3 linked regions of the Ovis aries genome follow. The protein of the gene in region 2 purifies or fractionates together with the protein of the main gene of each other region. This does not show direct contact. Links are inferred from orthologs where the notes say so. Each region holds a gene or a part of one and is shown on either strand. Other genes may lie near its edges.

Region 1 (3,653 bases), on a different chromosome or scaffold from region 2:
GGGTGATCACTCTGCAGTGTATACAGACATTAAATTATAATGTGTACTGGAAACTTATTTTTTAAAAAAAGGCAAAAAATTCAAACAGCCATTTCTCCAAATATATACCAATGGCTAAGAAGTACATTAAAAGATGCTCAACATCATTAATCATTTAGGAAATACATACCATAAACACAATGTGACACCACTTCATACCCACTAAGATGGCTCTAATCAAAACCAGTAATAAGTACTGATAAGTATGTACAGAAAATGGAACCCTCAATGCATGTATGTTGTAAAATGGTGCCTGCAGCTACCAGGAGCTTGGAGAAATAGGGAAAAGAATGAATGCTAATGAGAATGGGGTTCTTTTGGAGATGAAAATGTTCTGAAATCAGGTGATTATGATCAATGCACAACTTTGTGAATATACCAAAAACTACTAAACTGTATACTTTTAAAGAGTACACATTATGGTCTGGGAATTCATACTGTAACAAAGCTGTTACTTTTAAAAAACTACTCCTATATGATCCTTTTTTTGTAAAAACACCTTATCCAGCCATCCTTCTATCTATGTACATATAAACAGAAACACCTGGGATGATAAATCACTGCTACTATATCCTCACAGTAGCAATAATGATAATGATTGTTATTTCTAATGATAAGAAGGGTGATAGATTCCTATTTTAAATCTATGCATGGTATGAAATAGTCACAGTAATGTCTATACTCTTTTTACAAAAACAAATTATCTTCCTTTCTTTTAAAAAAGCAAACCTATTAAAAATTTAACAACAGTTGTTAATCACAGACAATGATAATAAGAATATTACTCTATTTTATTTTTTAATACTTTTTAAATTAAAAAATAGTCTCTCTGAATCATGTGAATTATATTACTGTAAACAAGGATTAGAAAGGTATTTCAGACACTTTAATGCCAACAAGCAAGAGAAGGCAACTGAACAAGTGAGTTGACTCAAATTCTAAAGATACCTCCTAAGAAGCCAGAACCATATTCCAAAGTGATTGGGGATGGGATTCTATTAAACTAAGCTCCACACTGTAGAGCATCTCAATAACTTGTCTTCTTGACCACAGTTTTCTTCACTTGTCATGGTTTCATCTCAAACTTCACTCTTTCAAAACTTGATAGTATCCCAAAATCTTTCAAAAAAACTTTGAAACACATCTACTACAGAGTAATAAATAGGCATTAGACTGAAATCACTTACTTAGATGTGTTCTGAGCCTTCTCAATAAATTTCATCACCTAAAAGAGAAAGATGTCAATTACAACAGAATCCAAGTTCAACAGAAAAAAATTACAGGGCCCTGTCCAGAGTGGCCCACCTCACAGGCACCATTAACAACTGAATCTCTATGTTGTCCATCTGAGGACACCAACTAACATGTTCATGGAACTAAAGAAACAAAGCCACACCTGCAGCACCACAACACCCTGGAGCACAGGGCAAGCACCTGAGGAGCTGAAGACTTGGATCTGTCAGTCCCAAGTCTCTTTCTTGGTGCTTTGGTAAAATGTTAACAGCTTGTCTCACTGAGTGAAACCGAGGTTAAAAAAAATAGTGATGCAAAACTCTCTTAAGGAAGTGGAATGTGACAGAAAAAACCTAATAGATGATGACAACTATCTGCTACAAGTGAGAAGCCCCATAATCATTCCATTCTCTTCCTGGCAGACCTTCCCACTCCCCATCCCTCCAACCCATCCTTGGGGTAAAACTGCACAGATGAAGAATAGAACCTGGGGGCATTCCATGGCGGTCCCGCGGTTAGGACTCTGTGTTTTCAATGCCAAAGACCCAGGATTCAATCCCTGGTTGGGGAACTAAGATCCTGCAAGCCACATGGCCGAAAAAAAAAGGAGAGCAAAAGAACTCAAGTCTCTTAGGTGTCTGCTTTGTTGGCTGCCACAAACATTCAGTGTGAAGTCTCTCGCCATGTTGATCATCCTCACATAGCCTACTTCTCTGTCCACCAAAATACCTCCTTATGTTCTATATGGACATCCAGATGGATTGCCCTTCTTTCCCAATGTGATCAAGCTAAGGCATTTAAGAGTCACAAGTTTTAACACAGCCATGTTTATGTAAATAGAGACAGATATACCTGATCAAATCTGGTAGCAAAGAGATTAAGTGAGGTCACTATGCCACCATTAGGTCCAAGTCCATACCTAGACATTAAGTTAAGGATTTAAATTGCTTATAGATCAATTTAGATGATAAAGTTTATTATCTTGACAATCCCTCATACACACACACACACACACACACAAACCCAGCATAACATTAGTGTTCCATTGACTAAAATGTACCACACAATCTTAACCTCATAGGGAAACACTCATTATTGATGTCTACCTCATTCATTTATTGTTTAACAATGGCCACGTAAAATGGGGCCAAATGGAATGGACAGATATTTCAGGCATTGACAGTCTGAGAGCATTAGCCATGAAGATCGTCTATGTACCACTCCTTGCTCTGATTCTCACTCTTCAAGTCACCTGAGGATTGGAGTCAGTCTTCCTACTCAGTAGGACCTAAAGGGAAAATACACATTTTATGGGCAATGTACTAAGAGCTGACCAACCCAAAACTTACAGTTGATCTTACTAACCTTTGAGTTTCCCAGTCTAAAGAGATGGTGACCAATAGCTGTATCCACCAAGGCAATACTACCTTGTGGACCCAGGCACACCACCAGCTAGCCGCTGATCCTCTGTGCTAATCACAACATCCTGCAGTTTGGGACAAAGGCAGAAAATGGAACTCACAAGCTGAAATAGGATGTCTAATCACCTACAATGCCTCTCCTCATATTCATCATCCCTCCTCTTTATAAAGTTACTAGAAAACTATCAAATGCTTTTGCTAGTATACTTCACAAGGAAAGGCACAGATATTTTTTCAAAGCTATACAATACACAGAAAGTAACTAACCAGGGATGAGCCAACAACAAAGTAGATGTAGAAAAGGATACTGTTTCATGACTTCTTTATACTTCACAGTGTCACGAATGTCTGCAGGGGGTGGAAAAAACAAAGAAATGGAATTTAACACATAAGAAACAATACAATTTGAGACTCTCTATAATATCTAAGCTAATTGACTTCTCAAGTTATCTCTGCTTCCTCTGAGGAAATAAATCAGTTTCTCTCTTAGCATCCAAGTCACTTTTCAAATCTGTTTCCTAAATTTTCAAGCTAAGATCACTGAATTGTGATAGCAAAAGCAGCAAGTTCAGGAACAGACTAGGAGGACAAAAGGTACCCTGGAAGTATCTTCCCTCCCGACAAGAAACTGAAACCAGCTTTTGAAGCTTCTATGCTCAGCACTGTCTGTTAGTAACTTCTCCAGCTTCACACTGGTTTACTTCCTTATGGTCACGGATAACTGCCAAGTAACCCAAGAAGGTTAGGCTAGGAGCTCTCCGGTTACAGTAGGGATGGTCTGAGATGAAAAGAAAAGTTCTATACGACTTAAGTACTTTCTCAGTGACCATATATATAGAAAAAGGGAGTTAAATCAAGAAAAAAGGCTTATTCTTTACTCCTCACTTACTGGTAACTAAGTTAAAGCAGATAACATTTTTATAAAGGCATTAACTTGGGGAGTGGATGTCAGGGAGAGAA
Region 2 (3,653 bases):
CGACAGCATGGAAACAGTGATTTAAATTTTATCGAAGAGGGTCTATAAAATTCTGTATTTCAACACAGCTGAATTTTCTTTTTACCCTGATCCTGGCTCATAGCTTCAAAACTGCTGTGGTCTGTGTTTGTTGTAGGAATGTCCATCTCTGTGTCTGATACCTTAACTCTCCACCTTCACTACCATCAGATCTCCACCTGACTTGTCCTCTCTGTGCCCTAGAGAAAAGACAGTCCCTGAATTAAAACTCTACTTGAGTCTTGGGAAGAAGAGTTTCTGCTCAGAACTGGAGACAGGGTGGAATTTAGGACTTGGACCTCTAGGCTCTCTTAGTCCCCTTCTCTCTTCTCTCCCCAACAGGCATTTCAATTCTCTGCCTTGGGTCTGTGAACTCTGCTGCTTAACACTGTCCTCTTCTGCCCCAACCTAATCCAGGCACCACCCATCCCGAGGTCACTGAAAGAGATGCCTTTCTTCAGAAAACCTTTGGGATTAGAATTTCCCCAGGAAGATGAAGGATGGAACGTTCATTGCTGGGTTTCATCTCTCCTTCTGACCCAAAACTTCCCACAAAAATGTCTCAAGAAACCTTCCCAAAACTTAGCATTCTGCCCCATTCACTAACTGCCAATTCCCATGGGCAGATAACTGGGAATCCTTGAGGGGGCATTTCTGTGTAAGAGATGTATGGAATCAGTATGATAGCCACCTTCTTTCAATACTGTGTGCAAAGAGGAATAAAAAAGAAACAACAACAGAAAATCCTAATTACTATTCTACATAAAGAAATGAGAATTTCCAACCATGGCTGACTATAGCTTATTTCACAGTTAAAAAAAAAAAAAGAGAGAAAGAAAAATTTTCAATTAAATATCTGCTACCCAATAAAACAAGATCCAAGAGAACTTTCCAGAGTTAAATGGATACGGAATTTCTCTCTAAATCAAACCTCAGAAAAGGAAAAGATGGAACTACGCAGATCACTAAAGGAAAATTGTGAATACCCAAGTTTCCCAAGCTGGAGTAGGCAAAGAGCAAAAAGAACTACTGTTGATAATGAAACAAAAGGAATCCAGCCATCCAACTACTTATTTCCACTATCACCTTAGTTTAGGACATTATTATCTGAAACTTAAGCTATTTCAAAATTTGTATCTGACTCCAGTCTCTTACCATTCCAAGTAAACACCATTTCCAAAGCAACCTTTTTAAATAACACTTTAATACATTCTTTGACAGTCTTTCCACAATTTCCCATGACAGCCAATGACATCCAAGCATGTGACAACCTAGTTCCATCTTATCTTCCACTATCAAAAAGAGATCAAGTCAAAAACAATACACTGACTACGGTGGTCCCTCCATTCCAACCACAAGCCAAATTCATGAAGTATCTCTTGCTGAAATGATTAAATATCTTTTCTCTACTAAGACAAATGCCCTTTACAGTCAGCTTAAGTCCCTCCCATCTTTTTCACTAAGCTCTGATACCAAAGCTTACGAGATCTCTTCCTTCCATAGTATTTATTTTGGAACTCTGAATATGCTATATTGTTGTCTCTCGTTTTGAAAAGACCATATAGAAAAAAATGCCATACATTAAAAAAAAACAAAGACATTTTATACCCATTTTTCCAACACAGTGCCTGAAGAGTCAATTATTTTTGTTCTCAAGAGCAAAGTCTATGCAGTAGCTCCACCTAAAATGAGAATAATACACCAGCACTTATGAGATAAGCTACGGAAAAGAGGGACTGATCTGGCAGGAAATAATAATCTTTCCCTCTGTCTACTTCTACTTCTTTTCTACCTCATTTTGGTTTTTAGTTTTCCCTGTCCCTCAAGACCGATCAAGCTGCCTCTCTACTCAAAAACTAGGAACATGGAATTCCCTGGTGGCTCAGTGGCTAGGATTCTGGGCTTTTGCTGCCATGGCCTAGGTTTGATCCCTGGTGGGGGAAATTGAGATTCCCCCAAACCATGCAGCAATAAATAGTACTTAAAAAAAAAAAACTGGGGTGGGAAGAAAGTTCATGAGGGAGGGAAATATGTATACCTATGGCTGATTTATGTTGCTGTATGGCAGAAACCAACAACATTGTAAAGCGATTATCCTCCAATTAAAAATAAATAAATTAAGGAAAAAAAACTAGGGACAGTCATTGTTTTCGACTACATACACACTTCTTTACAATCACTCAAAACTAGATTCTAAAATGATAGCCCTGCTATGATTTTAACAATGCTGAAAACATGCACATGTTTAAAAAAAAAAAAGACTACAAACTAATTTAGAAAAATTAAAAGAGCTGATATATTTGGGTGATTTCCCCTTACCTCTTATATTGATATAACAATGTATTTCATGCAACAAATAATCAAGGCAGAGGTTCTTCACCTACTTTTTCTTTCTATTACTTATACTTGGAAAGACAAAAGGAGGATTTTCTGAAGTAATATGACTATTTCTGGCTTGCTTCTCTCAGTAGCTCATCATATCTCTTGAGATTCTTCTTCCTGACTATTAAATACCTACTATCTGAATAGGAATTAACAGTTCTGCATTACTCGCAAAAATGCATCTCTCCACTAGTAAGACTAAATCAGGAGCTGATAGAAACTGTTGAAAGTACACTACAGAAAGTACACCTTTCTTTTTTAACCTTTAAGCCAGGTGAGAAAAGGACTGAAATTTCAAATCAATACCCTTATTTATGTTACTTTATTAAAATAACCATCTTACCGGTTCTTCAACTTCTCCACTAGCATGCTGAGCTTCAGCTTGTAGGTCTATAGGTGGAGCATCTTCCACAATTCTTTGAACAGACATCTGAATAAACTCATCAAAAGAATCCAGCTGTTGTCTCACCAAACCTTTCTCATCAAAATAGGAACTGGGAAAATATGAGTTTACAATCAGTTACAACTCACTAATGTTTTCTAGCATATTTCCCCATTTTCACTATCATTAAATTCAACAAATATTAATCATAAAATAGAAATCACTCTGTACCCATCACTATATAAAATACTATCATGTATCTAAAAAGGCGATGAGACTAGGAACACTTTCTTTGTCGAACTTATTGTTAAGTCTGTGGAAATGAGACTTATACCTGTGGGTAGAATTACTAAAACACAACGTAAGAACTATAAGGAAGCCCTAACTTATAAATATCCCTTATAAACTTTATCCAACCTCTCTGAAACATTTCTTGAAACTAAAGAAAATGTATAGTCAAAGAGAAAAACATTAACAGGGATGGGCCATGAGACTATTAAGAGAAATAAACAGGAGAAAATCAGATAGCACATGATTTCACTCATACATGGAATCTTAAAAACAAAGGGAAAAAACCCAAACCCAAAACAACAGACAAACAAAACAAAAAAAACTCACAGACATAGAGAACAGAAAAGAGGTTACCAGAGAGAGAAGGTGGTTAGCTTTATAGGTGAAATGGGTGATGGGGGTAAAATGTAAGGTGATACAAATGATGGATGATAACTAGACTGTGGCGTTGATCCCTCTGTGGTATATTCAGATGTTGAACTATAATGCTGTACACCTGAAACTTATATAACAAAAAAAAAGCATGGAAAAAAAAAGAAAAATAAGAACTTTAATTTTAATAAGAAAAAAGATGATGATG
Region 3 (3,653 bases), on a different chromosome or scaffold from region 2:
GTAATTTACCAAATGCCACAGTCCAGCAGTCTCTCTTGTTTTCTCCCTGCACGGGTTCCATATTAGCAACAGGATCATCTTTCTGCCGTGGGTCCCACACCTTTACGGTTCCTGACAGAAAAAAAACAGGAGTTGGCAAAATTTAACAGTGAATGATGGCATTTCTTTCTGCATTCTCTTCACATGGCTTCCTATGTACATGGAGATATTATAGCTGTTACAATATCTGAAAAACAGTCATGTTTTTCTGACTTGTTATTGGGCAAGTTGTACTTAATATAAGAGCTATAACCCACATGTTATACCGTCTGACTTGATTTCCAACTAGCAGATACACAACAAAGCCAACAACTGTTCTTAAGTTGTCAACAAGGTATGACTGATAAGGCAAACACAAATGTTACGTAAGTTAAACCATGCCTTACTTTCTTGATTTAAGCCTAAAACAAATGTACTATTTATTCAGACTAAAGCAAGTATCATTTTAATGTTTTCTCCTTAGTACCCATATAATCATTGGCATTTTTCTTATACATATCAGTTCAGTTCAGTTCAGTCACTCAATTGTGCCCGACTCAGCAACCCCATGAACTGCAGCACGCCAGGCCTCCCTGTCCATCACCAACTCCCGGAGTTCACTCAGACTCACGTCCATCAAGTTGGTGATGCCATCCAGCCATCTCATCCTCTGTCGTCCCCTTCTCCTCCTGCCCCCAATCCCTCCCAGCATCAGAGTCTTTTCCAATGAGTCAACTCTTCGCATGAGGTAGCCAAAGTACTGGAGTTTCAGCTTTAGCATCATTCCCTCCAAAGAAATCCCAGGGCTGATCTCCTTCAGAACGGACTGGTTGGATCTCCTTGCAGTCCAAGGGACTCTCAAGAGTCTTCTCCAACACCACAGTTCAAAAGCATCAATTCTTCGGCGCTCAGCTTTCTTCACAGTCCAACTCTCACATCTTATACATATAAATAAACTAATTTTTGCATCTATGATTTCTTATATGAGGCTTTAGAATACCATTTCATATACAATTCAGTTTAATTTCCCCATGGCAGTAAAGAAGAGGGAAGAAGTTAATAAAAGTAACCAATAATTCTTCTCAATTTAACTCCCTCATTTTAATGCAAATTATGGGAAAACTAACTGGTGTCACTGATTTTGAGAAACACAAAGACATGTAATAAAATGGTTAAAAGGCAAGTACCCAACAGAAAAAGGGTAAAAAAATCCATGAAAAGGATAATAAATGCAGGAAACGGGGAGATATTTCACTAGATTTATGGCCAAGGATAAAGTTGGTCATTATAAAGGCTGCTTCAAGGAAAAATAAATTTCCTATAAATGTGACAAGTTATTATAATTTCTCTATGCATTTTCCTGGTGGCTCAGTGGTAAAGAATCTGTCTGCCAGTGCAGGAGACACCTGGGTTGGGAAGATCCCCTGGAATAGGAAATGGCAACCCACTCTAGCATTTTTGCCTGAAAAATCTCATGGACTGAGGAGCCTGGTGGGCCACAGTCCACAGGGGTCATAAAGAGTCGGACATGCCTGAGCACGCATGTTATACATGACAGAACTCATAAAAATTGGTAACATTAAGCTTGTAACAGTTAAATGAACAAAGGACATACATAGACAATCTGCAAAACAAAATTAACTAAAAAAACAAATACAGAGAGACGTTAATGCAAGTCAGGACAGGACAGCATTTTTATCTCTAAAATTAGGGGGAGAAAGGAATCAATTGCTGGTGGGTAGACTAGCAATCTACCTCATCTACCATAGTTGATACGGTAAATAGGTACCTTGGGAAGTTTGACAAGTTTCTTAAGTGATAAAATATGATTATTCCAAAGAGTTACATACATGATGATACTCATTTCACTGTCACTCTCCCAAAACAACAAATAAAACCTTCATGCAAAGCAAATGCTCATTAACAGGGGCATCGCTAAGGAACTGTGATCCATTCATAGGATGGAATACTATAAAGCATCAAAATGATAATTATGAAGACCACACCAAAACAGCAATCTCATATGACAAAACACTAAATATAAAAAGATTAAGATACAAAATTGAGAAAACTGTGAATTCCCTGGCGGTCCAGTGGTTAGCACCCCCTACTTCCACTACTAAAGACACAGGTTCCATTTCTAGTCAGGGAACTAAGATTCCGCATGCCCTGGTGAAGCCAAAAAAATAAACAGACTAAGAAAGAACAAAACTCAATCATATTAACCCTGATAATACAGTGTTAATTAATAAATTGTATCTTAGACTGGAAAGGAAAACCAACCTGATATTTATGCTAGTGTGGTAGACTGTAATTTTTCCTTCTATATTCCAGACTTCTTCTACGATTGGAAAAAATAATTTGATTTCTAAAACACAGCTGCTCTTAAGAAACTGTTAGAAAATTAAATTCTACTTTTCTGTGAAAACAATTTCTTCATGGTCTTGAGCATTAAAAAAAACCTAGCCAAACCAATAAATATACCAATCACTTAGGTCCCCCTTCTGCAGCAACAAAAATTCTGACTCTGTTTTATTCACAACAGCTCAGGACCCCAAAAGGCCTGTTGCTTGTTAGTCACTGCGGGGGAAAAGCAGAGTTGGAGCTCCGGAAGCTTCCTGCAAAGCTCAGCGGAAAGACCACAGACTGCAGTGTTCAACCAGCTGTCAATATGACAATTTTCACAAGTACTAATTCTGCTTTTTAAAAAAAGAAAATGAAAAGCTGCCACCCACAGTATATCGTCAGCTACCTCAAAAATTTCTAGAGACTTTTTAAATCCTCAAGGTTCAGAGGAAACTATGGTTGTTAATAGCTGAACTAGCACAAGACTAAAATAGTAAGTGCTATGCCTCTATCTCGAAATCTCCCAAGAGCCTGAAACAATTGAGGGATATACAATCAAACTTGCCCATCAAAAAAAATAGAGAGATTTAGGGGGTCAAGGATTGAAGAAGACTTCCACATAGAATATATTGTTGCACAGAGACTTAACTAAAAAAAAAAATTAATGTACACAGAATATTCTGACTTACCATCTCGGCTGCCAGTCACAATTTCAGGTGCCCCTTCCCCAATTCCAAGTCCACCAACACCATCTATAGTGTTTATAATTTCTTTATGGCCCTTTACAGAATACACTGGGACCTCTGGAGCTTCCAAATTCCTGAACAACAGAACACAGCTTCTTACTTACACATACCCCAAGTGTTTAGTTCACTACTCAAATCTAAGAATGCAGGCCATATTGAGATTTTGGATTAAAAAAAAGGGTTTTTCAATTAAGGTAACTTATACATTTACTTCCAAATTTTCCTCCACACTTCAGCTTCTTTCAAGGCCTCTGTAAGGGCTGTTATCACTCAACTTGGAATTCTAACTCCTGAGCCCACTTTACTCAATGATCCTCAAAGACGACTGATCCAGGACCTCTGCACATGAGTCCACCAGGGATGTTTCTTAAAAAAATACAGATTCACAGGCTCCTCCCCAGACATAATGAACAAGTATCTCTGGGGTGGGGCCCCAAACCTCCCAACTCTCTGAGGCTGATAATACTGCTTTAAATACAGAGTAAATTCAAAGTGATTTAGAATGTTTCCAAAGTGGGCCTTGGTAGTTTGATCTTGAGATCT

Evidence for each region. Proteins that work in one complex are often made in the same cells at the same time.
Region 1: the proteins of POLR2B (region 2) and GPN1 purify together in Homo sapiens (affinity purification with mass spectrometry; 4 studies listed by BioGRID and IntAct, with this or other methods). This does not show direct contact. The link is inferred for Ovis aries from reciprocal best matches to the Homo sapiens genes POLR2B and GPN1.
Region 3: the proteins of POLR2B (region 2) and DNAAF10 purify together in Homo sapiens (affinity purification with mass spectrometry; 3 studies listed by BioGRID and IntAct, with this or other methods). This does not show direct contact. The link is inferred for Ovis aries from reciprocal best matches to the Homo sapiens genes POLR2B and DNAAF10.

Annotation. Positions count from the first base shown.
Region 1 is NC_056056.1:34,651,159-34,654,811, reverse strand, and holds part of GPN1 (GPN-loop GTPase 1), read right to left. Parts: intron 3,042-3,653; coding exon 3,002-3,041; intron 2,192-3,001; coding exon 2,125-2,191; intron 1,265-2,124; coding exon 1,227-1,264; intron 1-1,226. UniProt on the Homo sapiens protein: Small GTPase required for proper nuclear import of RNA polymerase II (RNAPII). May act at an RNAP assembly step prior to nuclear import.
Region 2 is NC_056059.1:73,103,954-73,107,606, reverse strand, and holds part of POLR2B (DNA-directed RNA polymerase II subunit RPB2), read right to left. Parts: intron 2,895-3,653; coding exon 2,744-2,894; intron 1-2,743. UniProt on the Homo sapiens protein: Catalytic core component of RNA polymerase II (Pol II), a DNA-dependent RNA polymerase which synthesizes mRNA precursors and many functional non-coding RNAs using the four ribonucleoside triphosphates as substrates.
Region 3 is NC_056056.1:40,182,882-40,186,534, reverse strand, and holds part of DNAAF10 (dynein axonemal assembly factor 10), read right to left. Parts: intron 3,185-3,653; coding exon 3,054-3,184; intron 112-3,053; coding exon 10-111; intron 1-9. UniProt on the Homo sapiens protein: Key assembly factor specifically required for the stability of axonemal dynein heavy chains in cytoplasm.